Alligator mississippiensis: one gene and its partner. The protein of the gene in region 1 interacts with the protein of each later gene in a biochemical or structural test. Links are inferred from orthologs where the notes say so. Each region holds a gene or a part of one and is shown on either strand. Other genes may lie near its edges. The genes, in order: CABIN1 and MEF2D.

The links.
Region 2: the proteins of CABIN1 (region 1) and MEF2D form a complex in vitro, tested with the Homo sapiens proteins (2 studies listed by BioGRID). The link is inferred for Alligator mississippiensis from reciprocal best matches to the Homo sapiens genes CABIN1 and MEF2D.

The regions. Positions count from the first base shown.
Region 1 is NC_081833.1:18,632,326-18,643,175, reverse strand, and holds the start of CABIN1 (calcineurin-binding protein cabin-1), read right to left. Parts: upstream 4,482-10,850; 5' UTR 4,195-4,481; coding exon 4,171-4,194; intron 1-4,170. UniProt on the Homo sapiens protein: May be required for replication-independent chromatin assembly. May serve as a negative regulator of T-cell receptor (TCR) signaling via inhibition of calcineurin. Inhibition of activated calcineurin is dependent on both PKC and calcium signals.
Region 2 is NC_081838.1:17,121,371-17,131,611, reverse strand, and holds the start of MEF2D (myocyte-specific enhancer factor 2D), read left to right. Parts: upstream 1-5,948; 5' UTR 5,949-6,069; intron 6,070-10,241. UniProt on the Homo sapiens protein: Transcriptional activator which binds specifically to the MEF2 element, 5'-YTA[AT](4)TAR-3', found in numerous muscle-specific, growth factor- and stress-induced genes.

The DNA of each region.
Region 1 (10,850 bases):
TCACAGTCCACTACATTCAGGGACTTCTGGAACCACTTTCCCAAATTCCTAATGTTAGCAGATCCCAGGGTCTTGCCCAGGGTTGCTAGATCAGCTCCACTGAGGGGGACCGACACCTGTGTGGTTTCTGTGGGTTTTCCCTGAGCATCCCGAGTGACAGGTCCGCGTGATTGCACTCACCTAAGGCACCAGGGTCCTTTCCTGATCTGACTTAGGGTCTTCAGGAGAGGGCTCCCCTGCACCCTCTGGATCTCCCCACATCTCCCCACCCCAAATCTCTCCTGGATTGAAGGGGATGTCTGGATCCCTGGCTTGGTCTCCCTGGATAACAGCTGCTACTTGCAGGTTGCGCTCCTGGAGTTCCTTTTTTAAACAGTTAATGGTATTTAGACAGGGGCCATGGTTGACCTTGGCTCCCTTCTCGGCTTGGTCTTTAGCCATTGTCTTTACCAGTTTTTGCAAGGCTTCTCCGCTAGCCTTTTCTTGGTCCAATAATTCTAATTGTTGGGCATTGCCTTGATTTATTTTTCTCAATGGCTCATTTTCATTTTCCAAGTTCCAAGACAACCCCTTTAGAGTCTGATTACTAGTTTCCAATTGAACACATCTATCTTTTAGAATTTGGATTAGCTCCTCCTTTTCCTCAATTTCAGAGGCTTGCTGAGCTTTTTCCTCAACTGCTGTTGTTACAGAATGCCACAGAAGCCAGACCAAGGCACTGTGTTGCCTTTGAACCGAGGGTTTTTCACAAAGGCAAAAATCTTTCAAATTGGGATTCAATGTCCCCTATGGAAAAGCCTGGGGTGCACACATCCTCCCTCCATGCACTGGGTTCACCCTTCAGAATCTCCCTATGGAGAGAGGAAATTTCCTCCCTCCGTACCCACTTATCTTCTTGGCCTCCTGCTCCAATCTTAGGGGTTTTTTTCCTAAACAAAGACATTTTCCTCAACATGCCTCAAGCCTGTCAGTTTCCTTGAGCCCTTGCGCTCCCAACCAACTCTGCCCCTGCAGTTCTACAACCAAATCCCTTCCTTGGGATATGTCCACCCCCTTGGGTGACGACTAAATCCAGACCCTCCTTGGGTCTGCCCACTCCCTTGGGTGACTATTGCCCACCCACCTCCGTGGACGTGGGTTCTATCTGGAGACAGTCTCCCCAATTACCAATCTGCTAATAATCCTAGAATAATGCCTGTGTTCTCCACCAAATAATGTTGGCTACAAATGTCCAACTCGGGATCCTTAAAATTCTGGTTTATTAGGCGGATTGAAACACTGTAATGAGTTAAATCATAAACCTTGGGGCTGGTCCCCCCCCACACACACAGAGTAGCAAGCTACAGAGTCAGGTATACCTATCCTACAAGCGCTGGAGTCTGCCATTGATGGCCAGTCGAGGCTTCTTTCAGCATGGTGTTATCCTCCAGAAGGGGGTCGCCGGCTGGTCCTTCTGGCTGGACAGGTCTGGTCAAGTTGGAGATCAAGAGGGCGCCACTGAGGGTCACTTTTCACTGCTTTTTATCTGTCCTTGGCAGACTTTGGTGACTCCCCAGTTTTCAGGTTTGCCCAATCCAGGGGTCATTGACCCTTGTGGGACTTCCCCCCGCCCCTCGGTGGCTAGTGGATGGCATCTGTCAGCCCCAGGGGTCATTCGCATGAATGTGCAGGTTTGGGAGTCCGTTGATGAATTTTGAATAGGGCTCTGGGAGTGGTCGATCTGGAGATATTCAGCCCAAAAGTTGGTCCCTGGTGTTGATTACCTCAGGCCAGGGCTTTTAGCCCTTGATCAGTGAGGTTTAGAGATTTCCCAGTTGTTACATTGTCTTCTATTGAGTTCTTCCTTGGTTGATCTGCAGCTTCCTAGGTGTTAATTGGTGCCTGCTACTATGTTACACATTCAATCACTGATTCACTTGCTTTCAGGGGCCTGCCTGATACAGGGAAGGGCAGTTTGATTCCTGCCCTTGTTAACATTGTTACAATGTATAACTCACTTATGAAACTAAATACATTCAGTTGAAAGATGAAAGGTGAGGAGTATAAAATATAAACTACAAATGCCATGGCACACAAATAGATAAAAATACCAAACTACAAGCGGAGATACAAAATGCACACATACAAATTTTAAAACACAATTCCTTATCTTAAAGTGAAAGAGAGAGGAAGGAAGAAAAGGTAGAAAAGGAGAAACATATCCAAAGAGGGGAGAGCAAATGCAGGCAAGAGGAAAAGGGAGCTTTCTGCTACATGCTCACCAACTCTTAAAAAAATATTTAACCAAACAACAGCCTTAATTCAAATCCTCTGTAACCTTAGTTAAAGCTGGGTGTGTATTTATGCTTATTTATTCAAACACTTCATTTTAAGTACGTGCTTAAGCACCTGGCTCAATCAGGACCACAGACACTTGCTAAAGGTAACACTCTTTAGCTTGGCAGATAATTCACTAGACACCCCTCATCTCTCTAAAGAAAAAGTTACAGATGGCAGCAGTTTTAATTTAATTGCAAACCATTCCATACTGTTCCTTGTCTAATCTATTACCAAACTACACAATCAACCCTGCCACACATCTGCAAGGCATAGCACCCTAAACTGCCAAAAGCAGGGGGACAACTGCAGTCATTGTCCTGCTGCTTCAATGATTAAACTACACTGGAGAGATCCAAGGAAGAGGGCCACACTCCTCACTACAGAGGAAGGCAAACCCCCCCCAGTCTGTACCAATCTGACCAGGAAGCAAAAATCCATCCAGGCCCCAAATGTGTCAACTTGTCTGACCCTGACCAGAGGGGCGAGATCCTCTACCTAGGAAACCCTGGAGTTTAGTCCCAGTAGGAGCACTGGTACACCCCACTCAGGTTCCCCAGCCTTGGCTGCAGTCAACCCCAATGCTTCTGAGGAAGGCAAAAACACCCCCCAAAAATCCTGATATAGGTAAAAATAGGAGGGGGAAAAAATTCCTTCCCAGCCCCACTTGGAAAGGGAGCATGTGAAATACCCATAGCACAGGCATAGGTACTTCTAGATCATCTCTGACCAATGTCCATCCAACCTTTTCCTGAAAACTTCATATGGGAAAGGTTCCCTACAATTTCTTTAAGCAGTCTATTCCAAACCCTCCCTAATAGTGAACAACTTTTCCTGATACCCAATCTAAACCGATTCTACTACAATTTCACGCAACTGGTCCTTGTCCTGATCTATGCAGCAAAAGAAAGAAAGGTGTTCTCAATCTTCTTTGTAGCAGCCCTACAGATACGCACAGACAGCAATCATGTCCCCTCTTAGTCATCTTTTCTGCAAGCTGAACATGCCTTGTCCTTCGGCCTCTCCTCATTTGGTTTGCCTTCCAAGCCTTTATCATTTTTGCTGCCCGCCTCTGGACCTTCTCTACCTGCTCCACACCCTTTTTTAAAACGCTAGTACCTGTTTGTCCAGATACATTTCACATGGAGTTCATGTTCCAGGTTGAGAACAGCAAAGCAGGTTCACTTGTAGGTATGGGCTGCTCCGTGCAGGCGTGACACCTAATTTCCATTCAATATTTGTGATGGCACATCAGTTGGGGGTGTGACTGCATTTAAGCAAGGTGCTTGAGCCTGGACACAACTACAGTGGTATAATTTCCTATGTGAATGTGCCATCCCAGTTTAAAACTATTCATGCCAGCATAACCATATGCATGTTAGGAGAACGGTTACACTAACTAAACCAGCAAACAAGTGATACTAGTTTAGACAGAGCACAATAACTTGAGGGTACTGACAAAGCCTCAGGCACCCTCAGACCACATACTTAGGCATAACCTCACAGTAGAGGGCAATCCTAGACTGGACAAGCACGTAGCTGGGGTTGTCTGACCCCAGCACTCTTTTCTGCCCAGACTCAATGACCTACTAAGGTCCCTTCCAACCTTACAAAAATTATCTATAGATTTCATAGACTTTAGGGCTGGAAGGGACCTCGAAGATCATGAAGTCCAGGCCCGTGCCCCAGGGGCAGGAAGTCAGCTAGGGTCAAAGGACCCCAGCAAGATAAGCATCCAAGCATTTCTTGAATGAGTCCAGAGTAGAAATCCTTTACACCCCTGCACGTCGAAACCATATCGTAAATATAAATGGAGTTTAAGCAGCTGCTTGCTGGAGCATCCAGTTTACTCACTCGCTCTTTGTGCTCCAGGCACATCTCACGTGGCGCTTCGCGGTCCGCAGCTGAGAACAGGGGAGCCGCTGGCTTGCGGCGTGCAGGTGTGGCACCGACCAGCAAACGTGCATGGGAGAGAATGCGTTTCGGTGGGAAAGCATCTCCTCGGCCACCACGAGGATGCTGCTGGCAGAGGGGATCGGGGAGAAGCTGGCACAGGCCCCTCGTGGGAAGGGAGGTCAAGTACGGTGGGGAGGTGGGGGAGAGGACAGAGCCGCGGGCCGGGCCGGGCCGCCCAGCACCCGGCAGCGGGAGGCAGGCTCCTGCTTCCCGGGGCCGGCGCTGCCCCCAGCACGCGGGGCCCGGGGCGGCAGAGCGAGGCCTGATGCTGCCCCCGGCCCCCCCCACGCCCCGGCCCTTTGTGCAGCCCCCGGGGCCGCTCCGCTCCGCTCCGCGCTGCCGCCCTCCGCCCCCCGGGCTCCGGCCCGGCTCAGCTCGGACGGGGGGGGGGGTCAGGGCCCACCCGCGCCGAGGGGGATGCACCTCACCTGCGGTCTCCACGGCAACCTGCTCCAGGGTCTCTAGAGCCCGGCACACCAACAACCCGCGCTCTCATTGGCTCAACAGCAGCTCCACAACCAGCCAATGCAGAAGCCGGATGCTGAGCGCGGCTCCAGGAGGCGGGACTTCCGGGAGGGGAGGGGCCTTGAAGTTGAGGGGGAGGAGCCAGGGTGGTGGTGGGTAGAGAATGGCTTTGTGCTCTGCTTGGGCTCGTGGCAGCCCACCCTGGGCAGGCAGCCAGCAGCTGCACCCCTCGCCCCTGCGCCTCCCTGGCACTGGGATGTGCATGAGGGTGTCGGAGGCGCCGCTGTCATCACAGCACCCCGATGCCATCGGGTCAGACTCAGCTGGCCCCGTGCGCCACTGTGTATAGTATCTGGACTTGTGGTAGAGGATCTGATCATTTATTAGATCCACTAGATTTTTGCAAAAAACAAAACAAATTCTTTGCAAAAATCTAGTTGGTCTAATAAAAGATATCACCTCGACCACTCGTCCTGATTCCTTTGGCCTCTAGACCATACAGCTACAACCTGGATGCCTGATACTAGTTATATCAGGGGTGGGCAATTATTTTGGGCAAAGGGCTGCTTACTGAGTTTTGGCAAGCCCTCGAGGGCCACGTAACTGGCAGCCCAGGGCAGTTAAATATTTTCTAAATTTTTTAGGGGCCCCGCAGGCCGGCCGGATAGAATGGCCTGGCAGGCTGCATCCGGCCCCCGGGCTACATTTTGTCCACCCCTGGGTTATAGTATTCATCCACATCTCATTTTAGAGTTGCTGAATTTTTAGCAAAAAAAAGTTTATTTTCTAAGTGAAAGAGGTGTTCACAAAAACATTAGCAGTTTCACTAAACAATCCTTCTCTCCAGCTTGCTCCATTTTCACCATCTTTTAGCTCTTACGATGGTCTTGTGCTAGTTCCCCTGTCGCCACAAATCTTCCAGTGTAGATGAATCAGATTTCCAATAGCATCCAAAGCTCCGCCCTGGACTGATGCAGCCTCGTGGGCTCAAGATGCGCCTGTTCACAGGATGTTAGGGCACCAGGACATGCCACCTGGTCCAGGGTATTGCCTTGGCATCAGCCTGTCACCATGTCTTGCTGGGTGTCCTGGCATCAGGGCTTCTTTCTTTTCCTGACAGGGACCATCAAGCTCCCATACTCTTGGTACCATTCCCTTGTTACCTAGCCCCTCTCATGGTCCATCTCTGTGACTTTGTTCCTCCTGGCTTCACCTACAGCCTTGCTGCAGTGCTCTACCTCAGCACTCTCTCCTCTGCCTAGTCTTTTCTGAACTCTTCATAAAGGTCCAACTTCATCAGAAAACCTCTCTCTCAAACGCCAAACTTTATCGTCTTTCTTCCTGATCCTTCTCACCTTCCCTCTTTCTCAATCCTTAACCTTCACAGAGAAGCTTCACTTTTTCCCAGAAATATTATGCCACTGTTTATTGTATGTATTCACACCTTATTTCAAAGAGCGATTGAATTTTTAGCAAAAATGTTTATTTTCTAAGTTGAGGTATTAACAAAAGTAACAGATTTTAACAGTTTCACTAAAAAATCCTTCTCTCCAAATTGCTCAGTTTTCACCATCTTTTAGTTCTTATGATGGTGTTCTGCTAGTTCCCCTGTCACCACAAGTCTTCCAATGTAGATAAGACTCCAATTTCCAATGTAAAAAACAAGCAACATTAAAATCAAATGTAAAGGAAAACATTTCAGGCTTTCTTGCATACAGCAACCTATTTCCCCCTACAGGCAAGAAATAGGTATTACCACTGAAACATAAGTTACTGCATTCAGGTTACTCCACCAGAGGCTGCCTAGCTTGAGAAAACATAGTCTCCGGGAAACAGGACTGAACTATACAAGGATTTGATTAGCTGAACAGTGTGATTGAATTAGCCCCGAACAAGGTGTGCTAATTCATGCTGCAGTCTGTAACTACATCTTCACTGCATTACCAGCTAAAGCATCAGCAACACTGGAGTCTCAAACTCACGTCTTCTGACAGGCCAGTCAGTTTGAGTTTAAAGCACTCTCAAAACAAAGATTTTTGTGTGGGAATGAGAGAGGTTAGGGACAACATTATGCCTCAAACTAAGAATGCAGTGATGATGAACTCTTATTTTATGTGCACATAGTATTGTGTAGTTTTATATCACTATGTGAATGTCTTGTAATAAGCCAGAGGGCCTTCCTCTTACTTCAGTCAAGATTTTAAAATCAATTTGAAGTAAGTACCACTAGAAGGCATATTGTAACTTGCGTATTACACAAGAGCTCTTTCTAGTCAAGTGCCTAATGGCATCTGAAACATACAGATCAAAGCTTCAGTCATGTTTTGGCCTTGGATCTTTGATCTCTTTCAAAAAAGACCTTCCCTCAGTGCCATTTTTGTTGCTGGTTATTAAATACATTCAATAAAACTAAAGTAAGTGATTCTTTTATGATAAAATAATCTAAAGGGTGATTAGAAGATATCTGATAGTTATTTGCTGAAGTATGTGAAATAAGATGATACTCTCGTTCCTCATGGAGTAATGAGTATCAAGTTGTTATAACTGTATCCATGTTAGCAACTAGCAGCAGATTCTAGCAACAGCACAGAGGTTGAAATATTGTCTCAGTCATGTGTGGTCTGTGACAGAAGATGGGAGAGGGGAACTATGCAGGAAACTGTGCTACAGAAACCCCTCAGGGTTAGGTCCAGTTTTGGATGCAGGAGAGATAGCAAGGGTGCTTCAACTCAAGCTAGCAGGAATTTTTTGAAGGAAGATTTTGTAAGTATTGTACTTGATTAAATCTAAAGAGCCTTTAATCACTCTGCAGCCACACCACTTATGCTACAGCCATCTCTCTCAACCTAAGTGGTATAAGGAGAAATACTCTTGATCTCCAATGTACACATTACTTAAAAATAAACTTTAACTTCAGACTTAGAAGGAAAGATAAGCCCCAGTACATACACTCCATATAACCTAAGAACTGCTTGGGTATGCATAAATATTACAGCAGATTCTCTATACTTCTGGCAGCATAACTTCAAAAAGAATCATTATTATTTCATATTTGAATTCTAGTGCTGTCCTTAAGCTTGATCAGCTCTCTTGTGTTGGTTGCTGTGTAAATACATAGGAAGAACAGTCCTTGTCCCCAAGACTTAGAATAAAAGAAAGTCTTCTGTATTATATGTATACACACACCATGACCCATCTAACACAGTCTAGTAAAGGTAAGTGCATTTGGATTTGCAAACACATCTGTCCTGAGATCTTGAAAAATAAATAGAAATCACGGACACTTAGAAACATTGGCTCAGCTCAATGAGTAGCTGATCCTTCAAGATCTGAATGTTTAGGAACTGTAAAAAAAAAATAAAAAAAAAATCTCCTCTTGCTGACAAGTAGGGAGGATCAAATGCTAGGCAGTCACTTTCTAAGGCCAGCTGAACAAATTGGAGGTGGTATATGGGAGCAGTCTGAATAATTCCTTTTCAGGTATAGGCCTACCTGGGATATTTGCTGTTTCTAGAGTAACAAATCTTTAGAAATGTTACAGGAAAGAAGAAAATGTTTCCAGGTTCCTTGTTTCAGGGGTGTAGGTTGTAGCCGTGTTGGTCGAAGGACATAGGTGTGGCGGGGCACTTGGTGGTGCCTGCAGCTGTTTGATTTTGGTGGCCATTTTAGGACTCTGGCTGCCTTTATAAACAAGAGCAGCCTGCTGCTGGGGCAGGTGAGAAACATCACCTGGCTGAGCTGCTGCATGGGAACATCTTGCAGATGGACCAGAGCCTCCTGCTCCTAGCGTATGACCTAAAACTGCACCCTTCCAGGAGTGGGTGGTCTGGTGGGGCTCCCAGTGGTGTGGGAACTCCAGAAAAATGCCAAGCCAGTTACCACCCTGGTGAAATGTGGGTAGGGGCACCTTAACCCCAGCCCTCATCCTCAGGTGGGTTATATGAACCATCTAATCCAGGGAAGGCCAGATAAGCTTCTTGAAGTGCCTGAGACTGCTGGGGTGAGTGACCCCATGGGGCCAGGCATACTTTGTGAAGCACCTGAGGGAATGGGGGACCCTGATCTCTGAGTGCAGGCAGGAGGCTTAGACCTAACCCAAGGGACCTGACTGGTCAATGCTGGGGCCAGGACCCAGATAGGAGTCAAAAGGACCAGGGGCCCACTGTGAGGGATGCCCATATAGAGCAAAGAAGCTCGGGGTCCCGACTGGCCTGAGATGGGGCCAGGGCTTAAAGGGAAGCCGATGGTGCCAGGGAAGGGGCCACAGCTAATGAGCAAAGGGGGCGGTTGAGTTGGCTGCCTGAGATGCTATCTGCGAGGCTTGGGCAGCGGTGTAGGGGTTGAATGGAGCCGTGGACAGCCCCCCCAATATTGGGGTGTATCATGGACAGCCTCCTGCCTAATTCTCACATCAATATTATTACATCAAGGCATGGCAGACAAGTGAGGTGGGTAGCTGACCTCTAGACATGGGGCAGACCGGTGCTTGCACTGAGCATGAAAGCTTGCCCCAGTCACAATAGGCAGACAAGGTTCTTTGGGTAAATCTGTTGGTTTTTTTTTTTTTATTAGACCAACTATTAATAAAAGATATTGGTTTTACTATTAATAAAAGATATTGGGTTTACCCAAAGAACCATGTCCAGCTTCCCTTGGTTTTTCTATATGCTGCAACAAGGTGCTGTAATTTCAGTTTGACTTTCCTGTGAGTGTTCTTCTCAAGTACTAAAAAACAAATGACAGTATCCTTCTCTAAAGAAGCTAGTGGTCATTTTCTTGCGCTAACATGAACATGGAGTATATTCAGCCCTAGTTGTTTACAAAGCAGGAGAGGACAGTGATTTAATAGTTGTCAACTGTGACCTCCCTACCTCTTCCCAAAGTCAAATAAATGGCACGTACTCGGGTCAAGAGGAAAAAACAATCCACCCCCAACTCTCACACACTTCAGATGAATTTTCTAACTACCCTCTTACAAAATATGCAAAGTCCATAAATTAGAAAGCTTGGTCTCAGCAAGTTTCTTGATCCAGCTCTTCCACTCTGATTTTGCTTAACTATGGGATGTTTTGTCATGGCAGTACAATGCTGCAGACAGAAAGCTACAAATGGGGAGCTACAAAATCAGTAGGGAAAGAGAAAGTGTCTAAAGATGAGTAGCAGTGGGAAGCCAATAGGGCCCAGCAACTGACCTGTGATATGACAGAAAAACAGGAATGACCCTTAGAAAATTCAGGACTGTTGTCATGCATCCCCATTTGTCCTCCCATGAAGCAGGGCAGTTCCTAGAGACTGCTTTGCAAACCAGAATCAAAACTGAGGGTCAGTAAAAAAAAAAAAAAAATGTTCTCAGCTTGTTACAATTTGTTCATCCCTCATAAGGCATGGACAGGGCTGTCCCCCTCCATAGCAACTGGGAAGGTTATAGCTATCATGTGCAGTGCTACAGAATTATTGGAGTATGCAAGTTTTAAATTTAATTGAAGAGCCCTCCTGAGGAACTACATAGACACTCATGTCTCCCAAAGTTGGAAAGGCTGAAAGAGAATGACAGCGAGGAGGCAAGAGCATTGTTATAACTCAGTTAATTCACTAACAACGTTCCTTGAAACATTGTATTGATCAGATAAGCCCCAGACCTATTAAACCTGCATTTGCTATTTTATTTAGCGCACAGGGGTTTTGAAACGATGGAAGAGAGTTTTCTTGCACTTTTAAATATTAACAAGTAAAACCAAATTCACTTTTTCTGTACATGAAAGGGGAAGCTTCTAGTGCTCTTCACATCCAGATTCTGGATTGTGCATACAATTAAAAAGGATTCTATGAGTGATGAACAATAAATTTAGTATCTGTTTTATATGTAACTCAATGTTGGCAAAAATGCTAAGACTGTGAATGATTCTAAGAGAATGACTAAGACTGATCCTGCAACCACTTACTACTTATGTCCCTCAGCAGCTTCACTGATTTCAGTGCAACAATGCACATACCTAAGAGTTTGCAGGACTGAGACCTTTGAAAGTGACTATAAATGAAAGTTAATTTAACATGTCCATTTTTATTATCCCAGTTGAGTGAAATGCGAAATTAAGGAAATACTGCACATGAAA
Region 2 (10,241 bases), on another chromosome or scaffold:
AGGCTTTGCTCTTGTGAACAACTTGCACTGCTCTCGTGAACGTCTTGCTTTGCTCTGTGATGACCCGGCTTGGGATGTCCCTCTGAGACCAGGGTGCAGGGAATGAATCGGGGCCATGCACTTGCAAACACCTGTCATCTGCTGACGCTGCATATGCAGATCATGGCAGGATCCCCTCCAGGGCCTGACTGCTGACTGCCAGGGCTCTGAGCCGGGTGTCCTGTCTCCCGGCCCCATTTGCTGACCCCTGGATTGGGCTGCCAACCTTATAATGAAAAAAAGCCCTGTTATACTCCCAGACCCACTTTTTTAAAAGAGCCCCTTTAAACCAACCCCAGCCAGTCTCTTCCCAACCTGGAGACAGGATGAGGGGCTTGGCAAGTGGCTGGTGGAACAACCCCAGCGGAAATAAGCAGAAGTGACTGGCAAGCCAGAGGCAAGAAGTGCAAGGAAATGCCCTTGTCCTAACCCGGCCCTGCATCATCAGCAGGGCCTGAACGAAGCACTCTGCTTGGGGCTCTGTGCCACCAGCTGCTGGCACCCACCCTGCTGCAGCAGGGCCTGGCACCCAGGGATAAAAGCCTACTGCAAGGAGAGCCGACCAGTGGCAGGGATGCAAGCGGGCGCATTCACTGCGGCATCATCCTGGGTTTGCACCCTCCGATGGGCACCGGTTGCTCTGGTAACAGAAGTAGGTTGCTATTTTCCATGCTGAGACCTCGTTCCCAGGGACAGTGAGGCCCCTCTGAGCTGCTCCCGCAGCACAGAGCAGTCTAAAAGGGGTGGACGTAGCCCTCTCCACAACCCCTCTGGTGCTTGGGGCTGGCGGGTGGCTGGCCAAGCAGCCCCAGTGTCTCCCTCCACCCCAGCACCAGCCCTTGTGTAATAAGGAGGCCATGTCAATCGGAGCAGCCACGAAGCTGCTCCAACTTCTATTACAAGGGGATGGGGGAAATGGTCAATGCCAGCAGGCTCTTCCTAGCTGGGTACAGGTCTTCAGCTGGCCTGAATCCATACAGCGGTACTGAAGGAGTGGCACTGAAGGTTAGGTGACATGATTTGGGGACCTCACCCTAATGGTAGTGAAATTATATGTGTGTATGTATGTGTATATATATAACCACATATGGCCACCCACACACACACATATATATTTAATTACCTTTAGGGTGAGGTCCCCAAATCATGCTGCTTAACCTTGACTTCAGTGGAGCTCCATGGATTCATGCCAGCTTACGACCTAATATGTGTATATATATTATATATCTAGTATAGTATTATATATATATACTGTATGTGTGTGTATATTGATATATATATATATAGATAGATGCATGCACACACATGTACACACATAATGTATGTATGTGTACATTGTATGTGTGTGTATAAATATACACACACGCACACATTGTGTGTATATATGTATATAATTTTGTACACATACATTGTATGTGTATGTATTTTTCTCCCTCATTTTTGTTTCTAGCCTGAGTTGCATGCACAGGGGCTGTGTGCATGCTTGAGGACCCAGGAGTCCTGCTCCTTCCCCACTGGCCTAGGACAGTGGAAGGCCATTTCCAGGGTCATTTGCCTGTGTACAGAGCTCTGCCTTGCACTGGGGTGTGGGAAGAGAGTTACTCAGCACTTGGTTCCCAAGGGAAAAATTGCAGCTTGCACTCACTTTCCAAAATATTCCAGGCTTCACAACCACATTCCAGGGCTGATACCCGGGTCTGATCCTTCATTCAGGGTGGTCACGGGTGGGGGGAAGGGGGGGGAAACTCTGAAGAAAGGCAACAAAACTCCTCTTACACAAGCGACACACCGGGGTCTCCTGGAACAGGGGGGTTATCTATTTATTTTATTGTTGTTGCACAATTGCAGCTGATTGGAAACCAGACCCGGGAAAATCCACCCTCCTGGATAGATGGCAAACAGCTTAGTGCGATGACTAATTCTAGCTCCCTATAAACGAAGTGGGCGCTAAAAATAGCCCCCGTTATTACAACAGTAATAATAATAATGGAATAAATAACCCGAAACAAAAAGACCTGAAGCCAAACAAACAGAAGTCCGCCAGGAAGTGGCGTGGTGACATCACGCGGGATGGGGGTGACACGGATCTGACCCCAATAAGGGTGCGGCATTGGCCTGCCTGGCTTCACACAGGCCCCATGGGTCAGCCTCCTAAAATAATATGAAATAGGGATTTCTTTGGTTGAGTTGCAAAAGATCTAATGTGAGTAAAGATGGTCATGTGCAACTTTAGGGCCAGTCAGAGAGTGCAGAACCTGCTTCTGCAATGAGATCCTATAATGAACAGGCTGAGAAGTGCTTTTGGGGGCTGGCAGGTGGGCAGAGTATTCATTGCAGCCATGCAATGGGGGACGGAGGTGCTAGCAGCTGTACAATTGCAGTTGCTGCTGTGACATGACAATTGAAATCATGGGACATCCCTGATTGTGGGGCATTAACAAGGCTTGAACCTAGCACAGACCTGAAGAAGCAACTGCTAGCTGCCTGTCTGCAAGAGTAGGTTGTTATCTTGCTGCTCCAGGAACAAATGTCATTGCTATTCTTCAGTGGTGCTTGGGTGCACCATCATGCACTGATAGCACCCAGCATGTGGCTAGAGATGGTACCCGAGGGGCTTGCAAAGTTAGAGAGTGGGACGGACACAGGGAGAACCACTGCCCCCCAATTTCGGGTGGGCATGGAGGGGTTCAGGCTGTGGGTCTCAGGCTCTCTTCTGTTCTTGGGGAGCCTCCAGCAAAATGACTTATCGGAAGGGCAGCGAGACCCCCGTCTCCTGAACCACACACGCACTGTGTCATTTGTCGCCTACCTTCCCCGTGCCTGCCGGGAGCCTCTTCCCACATGCCCTGCATTTGTAAAGCCTCCTTGCACACACACTCGCTCACACTCTTCCTCCTCATCCTGAGTCACTGGCTTTGTGGATCCACTTCCCGCCCCGCTGGCGCTAGCACCGAGGTACTTGGGGAAGCTGCTGGCTGTGATGAACAGGCCTGCTCTCGCTAACGCTGAGGCTCTAGTGCCTTTGCAGCCCTTGGGGGATGTAGGGCGATCTCTTTGGCTTGTATTTTTGTGCAGCGCCTTGCACTGCAGGGTCTTGCTTTGTGCTTGGGGGGACAGGTCATAAGCTTGAAAAATAATAATAATTCAGTATTTGATTGGTGGTTCCTGCTCCCATTTTGTCCAATACATCTAGTTAGGGTCTGATTCCTAGTTGTTCTCCTGGAACAGGAGTTTGAGAGCTTTGAAGCCCTTGTTTTGAATCTCAAAAACTGGCTCTGCCCTTGATGTAAAATTTCTGCTTTTTCCCAGAGGGGCATGGGAAACAGCCAGAATACAGGGCCCTGTCCCCTATGTGGCATGGGGGAGCAGGGTAGGGAACCCTCACCCCCTTTGCCAGATCCCTGCTAGCCAGGGAGGCTTCTTATTAAGGTCCCTTTGGGGTGCCAAAATGGCCTAGAGGGTGAGAATTCAGCCTTTGAGGTCCTTGAGCACATGCGGTGCACTCACAGTGGCAGCAAACAGGGAGTGTGAACTGCTGCTTGCATTTGTGGCACTGTTCTCCTCTCTCGGAGCTACTGTCTCAGGCTCTCTGCAAACTCTGGCAAGCTGCACTTCGTCTGCTCTGATTGCAACCCTGAGCTGCTCATCCCAGCTGTGGAAGCTGGGAGCATCTGTCCCGGGCTTGGAGCATCTGTCCTAGGTCTATGTAGGGGGTGGGATGCTGCAGTCAGAACCATGACATGACAGGATTTGTTTTTGAGGGCAAGCCACAGCATCATTTATCCGGTATGAAGCTCCAGGAGGATGTGAGGCTGGTGGAGAGAGGCTCAGACATCAGGGCAGGTAGGAAAACAACTAGGGCAGGGATCGGGCATGCAGGATTGACTGTGCCCTGAGACTGCGTGGGCGTTCATGGCGTAACCTTTGTTCCAGTCTTGCTAGGGTCAGACTGGATTAGCAGAGCGTCTGCACCCACAGTTGCCAGGCCCAGGATAGTGCTCTGGCTTGACAGTTGGGAAAGCTGCCTAAAGGCTTTGCTCAGGGGTCCAGGGCCCCGCGGTCCCACTTCTGATCCTGGATTGGAGCCCATGTGCTTACAGGTCACCCTGGTCTCTGCCAGGCTCTTGAGGCTTCACAGCGGGGCCTGTGGGCATGGAGGGACTGGTGGCAGGGAACAGCAAGGAGGTCTTTGGGGGTCTCAGGCTGCCCTGGCTTGTCCCCGATGGCTCCCTTTGCCACTTGACCTTGGCATGACTTGGCTGGTATTTGCTGCCAGTCTGTGGCCCTACCTGCTGACTGCACGTGGTTATGGCTGGGGGCAGGGAAGTCAGGAGTCCCGGGCTCTCTCCTTGGTTGTGGGAGGGGGGTCTGACTTCGTGGTTAGAGGGGTGTCTCACCTGGGTAGCCGAAGTTACTCCCCAAACAGCGATACCGAATCCCTGAGTGTGGGATACACTCCTTCAAAGTCTCTGCACCCGGTGAGGCACAGATGGGGTGGGGGGCAACTGAGGCACAGCGTGGTGAAATGGAAGGCTGCAGGGCTGGAGCAGCTGTGGATTCGGCTGTCACTGACTCTCCGTAGGACCTTGGTCCAGTCCATTTGCTCTGGTCTGTGCTGCCACTGTGACACAGGATCTGATTGCACCTGCCCTCTCGTCTCCTGGGTTTAGCGAGTCCCGCCCCATGTGCGTCCTGGGGCGCTGCCAGACAAATGACACTGGCTTTCCCTGGCACCCGGCTACGGCAAGGGCCTTGAACGGAACCCAGGTGTCCTGGCCTGAACCACTGGACTGAGTGCCCCTCCCAGCACCAGGAAGGGAACCCAGGCCCTCCTCGCCTGGCTGTAAACACCAGCTCAAACACTCCCACCCCCGGGGAGAGAACCCAGGCGTCCTGCCACAGGCCAACTCGACGCGCTAGAGGAAAGAAAACCACCCCTCCCACCAGCAGGAACCCAGGCGTCCTGGTGTGGGCGGCCTCTAACCACTAGACGAGACAGCCCTCCCCCAGCCTGGGTTCAAACCCAGGTGTCCGGACCTCCCGCTCCTGAGCTCTAACCACTAGCCCGGAGAGGCCCACCTGGCACCAGGAGTCCTGACCTTCCTGTCCTCTGCTCTAAACACTAGTCCTCAAAGCCCCTCCCACCCCCAGGAAGGGAGCCCAGGCGTCCTGACCCGGGCTGCCTCCAACCCGGGTCCCAAGGGACCTTCGCAACTTGGCAGAGAACCCAGGTGCCCTCACCCCCCCAGCTCTAACCACTAGCCCCTCCCACCCCCTGGAGGGCACCCAGGCATCCTGCCCCCCTCACCCCAGGGTGGGGGGGTCCCTGCCCCCCCAGCTCTAACCACTAGCCCCTCCCAACCCCTGGAGGGCACCCAGGCGTCCTGCCCCCCTCACCCCAGGGTGGGGGGGGGTCCCTGCCCCCCCCAGCTCTAACCACTAGCCCCTCCCACCCCCTGGAGGGCACCCAGGCATCCTGCCCCCCTCACCCCAGGGTGGGGGGGGTCTCTGCTCCCCCCCAGCTCTAACCATTAGTCCCTCCCACCCCCTGGAGGGCACCCAGGTGTCCTGCCCCGCCTCACCCCAGGGTGGAGGGGTCTCTGCCCCCCCAGCTCTAACCATTAGTCCCTCCCACCCCCTGGAGGGCACCCAGGTGTCCTGCCCCGCCTCACCCCAGGGTGGAGGGGTCTCTGCCCCCCCAGCTCTAACCATTAGTCCCTCCCCCAGCCTGGGAGAGAACCCAGGTGGCCCCCCCCCAGCTCTAACCACTAGCCCCTCCCACCCCCTGGAGGGCACCCAGCCATCCCGAACCCCCCCCCCGGCGGCGGAAGGATCCGGGCCGCGCCGCACCAAGCTGGGGGGGGGGGGGGGTGGCCCATGTTCCCGCCCCCGCGCCCCGCCCCGCCATTGGTCGGCGGCGCCGCCCGTCAGCGCGGAGGCTGCGCCTGGCGCTACGTTGTGTCTGTGCCCGGCGGAGTTACAGTGTAGCGGCGGGAGGAAGCGGGGCCGGGACCCCCAGGCCGGGCGGAGGTGAGGGGCTGCGCGGGGCGGGGGGATGGGGAGGGGGGGTGCAGGGGTCCATGGGGGGGGTTGCTCCCTCTCCAAAACAAGCCAAGATGGTGCAGAGGTGAAGGCAGCTGGGGGGGGGGCAGGCCTGGGGCCATGGGGGGGGCAAGGCAAATAGTGGGGTGGGGGGGGCCGCAGGGTCCTGCCACCCCCAGCCACAAGCTGCCAGTAGGGGCAAAAATATGGTGGAAAGCAAGGTGGGGAGGGTGTTTGAGGGTGCGGGGGCAGCCGCCAGAGGGGCTCCAGGGTGCTCACCCATGTTGTTCGCCTGTTGTTTGGGGGAGGGCGGTTGTGGTGGTGGTGGTGGTGGTGGTGGGGGGGGGGGTTGGTTGACAGCTGAGGTTGTTGCTGAGGGTGACGGGAGGCACTTTGGAGGCTGACATTTAACTGCGGGCTCCAAAATGGTGCAGAGGTGAAGGAGGATCCGTCCTGGGGGGGAGAGTGGCCTCCGGCGGGTGGCGGGGGGAGGAAAGGGGGTGCTGGGTGCCCTGGAGCTGGGCACCGCTCGCTGCAGCTGTTTCTAGGGGCGGCTCCAGAGCAAGGCATGGGGGGGTGGCTTCGTGGGGGTGCGGTGGAGCAGCCCTGGGCACAAGGGGCTGGGCTGGGCCGGCAGGGTCCCCCCGTGTGTCAGGAAGAGCCGTGCCCGGTATGTGGGGCATGGGGCGGGGGCCGAGGGGGCCAGCGTTTGATTGGCAACAGCAGCTTTTCGGAGGGCCGGTGGTAAATAGGGTCCAGGCGCTTCAATGCCTTGGCCGCCTGCCTGCGCGGGGAACTGACAGCTGCGATTGTTTGTTCCTCTCCGGTGGAAATGTCGCTGAAGGCTGGTGGTTGGGGGGGGAAGGAGACACTTCTGCTTGACAGCAGCTGGGCGATGGTGGTGCCCGACTGAAGGGCATGGACCCCTGAGGGCGTGGGGGCTGCGGCCGCTGTCCCTGGCTCCATGTCGGGGTGCAGGCAAGCATGGGGTCATGGCATCTGCCTGGCAAGGAGACCGGAGGTGTTTTTGTGCATCTGGGAGGGTGCAACCCCATCACAGGTGGTAGGAAAGTGGGATCTGGAAGGGGATCAGGGCTTGGCTCTTTATCCACGATGCAGGAGAGCTCTGATAGCTTGCCCCTAGCTTGCAGGTGGTCTTTCTTCTTGCATACCCATGTGCACACACACACACTTGTCCTTTCTGTGTCCCACACGGCGCTGAGAAAAGCCTGGGGTCAGCTGCAAGATGCTGTTTACTTTCTGCCCTCTGTCCAGCTGTCACACAGTTGTCATGTGGGGCCGTGGTGGTCTGTACTTCCCTCTACCTGTTGGGTCAGCTGGGCAGGGTGAGGGGCACGGGTCGCTGGCAGCCAGCAGAGGAAAAGCCCTTTAAAAGCCCCCAGTTTTTCATTAGATAGTCCCTAATTTCTGAGCACCTCCTGCCCTACCAGCATGGCAAGGCCTGGTCTGCCCACCCAGACCTTGTCCTGGCATAAAGCAGGCATCCAGGGGCACTAGTCTCATTCAGATAATTTTTTGCACTAACGTCGAAAGTCAATTTATTCCCCTGTTTGCATGGGGACAGCGGCCAGCACATTTCTGCGGCAGTGGGTCCACACGAGGCGAAGTCATACCCCTTTTGCCATACTGGGATAGCTAACGAGCTGCTGCTTGGCATGGTGTAGACCAGTCCATAATCCGTTTCTTCTCTCTCCAGGCGCTGGAGCTGGCAGTTCTTTCTTTGGCCTGTGTTTGGCGCAGGGCTTGGGGCCTCTGTTCTGCACAGTGCTTTGCTCTGAGCACAGTAGAAGAGGGGGTAGAGGAGGTACTCCTTTGCTGTGGTTGTCTGGTACATTTGCGCTGGTGGGCATAGCTGCAGGAAGGATCGATACCTTTGGTGAACAAGTGAAAGCTGCCCCAGGGTAGGGTTCGGAGCAGGGCCAGGGACCCGCAGGGTTGTTCTCGGGGATCAACCATCACTCTCCAGCACAAGCTTTCAGCTCCTCTTTGCTTGAGTTCCCATAGTTGCTTTGAGAGGACCTGGCAGTGTGAGCCCCCAGGGAGAGCGCTCACACTGCCCCTGCCGCTGCCCTGCAGAATGGCCTCAGGCAAGTCACTTTGCTGCTTCATGCCTCCATTTCCCCCTCAAAACAATACAGTGGGGTTATGGGCACTGACCTGCCCAAGGGATGGCAAGCAAAGGAGCCATGTGAGAGCCAGGGACTTTATTGTCCTTTACTAAATGAGCGAAGCCGAGGTAGGAGATGGTCTCAGAAGTGCCATAAACGGATGCTATTCAGTGTCCCAGTGAATTGGGCAGGGGGGTACCCATGGGGACCTTTTACGCAACTCTAGTAGCATAAAGGAGTCTTGATGTGTAAGGTCTGTTACTGCTGGAGCAAGGGGAAGACCCCTTAGTGGGACGAGGGTGAGGCCTGGAGTCTCAGGTGAATCTCTCTGTAATATGACGACTCGCGTATCGGTTCTTTTCTTGTGCTGTGGCAGCTTGCGGCATCTGCACAGGTCACCTGCTGTCTGGACACAATCCATAGAGGTGCGAGATTAAGGCACTCCATGGGGATTCGGGAGATTTGGATCTATACCTGCCTCTGCCACAGACTCCCCGAGTGGCCTTGGTTGCCTCACTTAGGTTTGCTCTGGACTGCAAAGGACTACCAGTATAACTTGTGGTTAGGCTTAGGGGGTGGTTTTTGCTAGCAGTAAAAGCTTAAGTGGGGATGCTGGGATAGCGGTCTGACTATCACAAGAGGTGCTAGCTGGGTGGCTCAGCATAGACACGGTTCTACTACCAAATCCATGTCTCATGGGGTTGGCTGAAATGGTATATCTCATGGCTTTGTGTGCATGCTAGGAGTCCCGAGTTGGTTTAATACATAGGTATTCTACTGGTAACATGCACCTAAGGTGGACCTGGGGTTTGCTTCCCGGCATGGGATAAGCTCCACTGAGATAAACCCTTTTAGACCATCCTAGCCACATCCACACTGAATAGGTGTGTCCTTTGTGTTAGTCCTAACATCACTCATTGCCGGGGAGGAGGGAGGAACTGGGCACATGTAAAAAGATCTGAATGAATCCCATCTTGCTTTCAACAAGATGTCATTGGAAAAAGTTCCAGTTTCTTTTCCTAGGTGTGCCCCTCTCTTAAATTAAGGGAAGAATCTTTAAAGTGAAAATTAGTATATTCCTGGGTCAGCTTCTGTTGGCTTGGACTGGGCCCCAGGACACATGGGTTCTTCTCATCATGGATCTGCGGTGGACCTGGCACATGATCCTTGGCCATGTCACTTCATACCGGGAGGATGGAAAGCATCTGGATGGTTGGCCCCGGCTAACCACAGCCAAGGGTTGTCTCTGGGCAGGTGCTTTGGGTGTAGGCTCAGGGCCTGATGCTGTCAGCGGAGTCCGTTGTTCTCCAGGCACGTGAATCTGGGCAGGAGGTTTCTGGCCAGAGCTGCATCTCTGCTAGGGAGGAAGGAGGTGAAGTCCGAGCAAAGACGAGGCCTTTTGTGGCTTCCTCAGGAGCTACCAGGTTGAGGTAGAGACTACAGTAGAGCCAAAGGGTTTTTGCAGAAGTAAGTAGGTCAAGGGAACGACGCGCTGCCTTGTCCTTCAGATTTCGCCTCCCGTGTCTGTCATGGGAGCTTCTTAGTGAGATCGGGCCTCGCAGACCTACCCCAAATTCCTGCTCCAGTGGTTCGAAGACCAGCCAAGTGACATCAGAGCGAGTGCAGAGGCTTTGGGCATTGCCCAGTCCTTGTCTTGGCTGGAGCCTTTGGGCATTGTGGCTACTCCAATCCTCCTAAGCTAGGCAGGGCTGAAGGCATGGATATGGATTTGATGCTGGGTCTGGCACTCGCTTCAGATTGTTTTGGGTTTTTGTCAAGCAATTACAAAAGGGTTTTTAAACAGGCTAATCTTCTCCACATTTGTCCATGTTTGGGAGACCCCTCAGCCTCCTTCTTAAGCATGTTTGAGCCGCGGTTTGCTGTGTTCCTGGTAAGATGGATCTGCCAGTCGCTGTCTGTCATCTTTCAGCGGCCCGGCCCTCCCAGTGCCGTTGATGCCAATCCTCTGCTCCAGCCTCAAGGGCTCCATCTTCCCTTTGCGTTTCTCTAGGTTTGCAGCTTTTCTTTGGG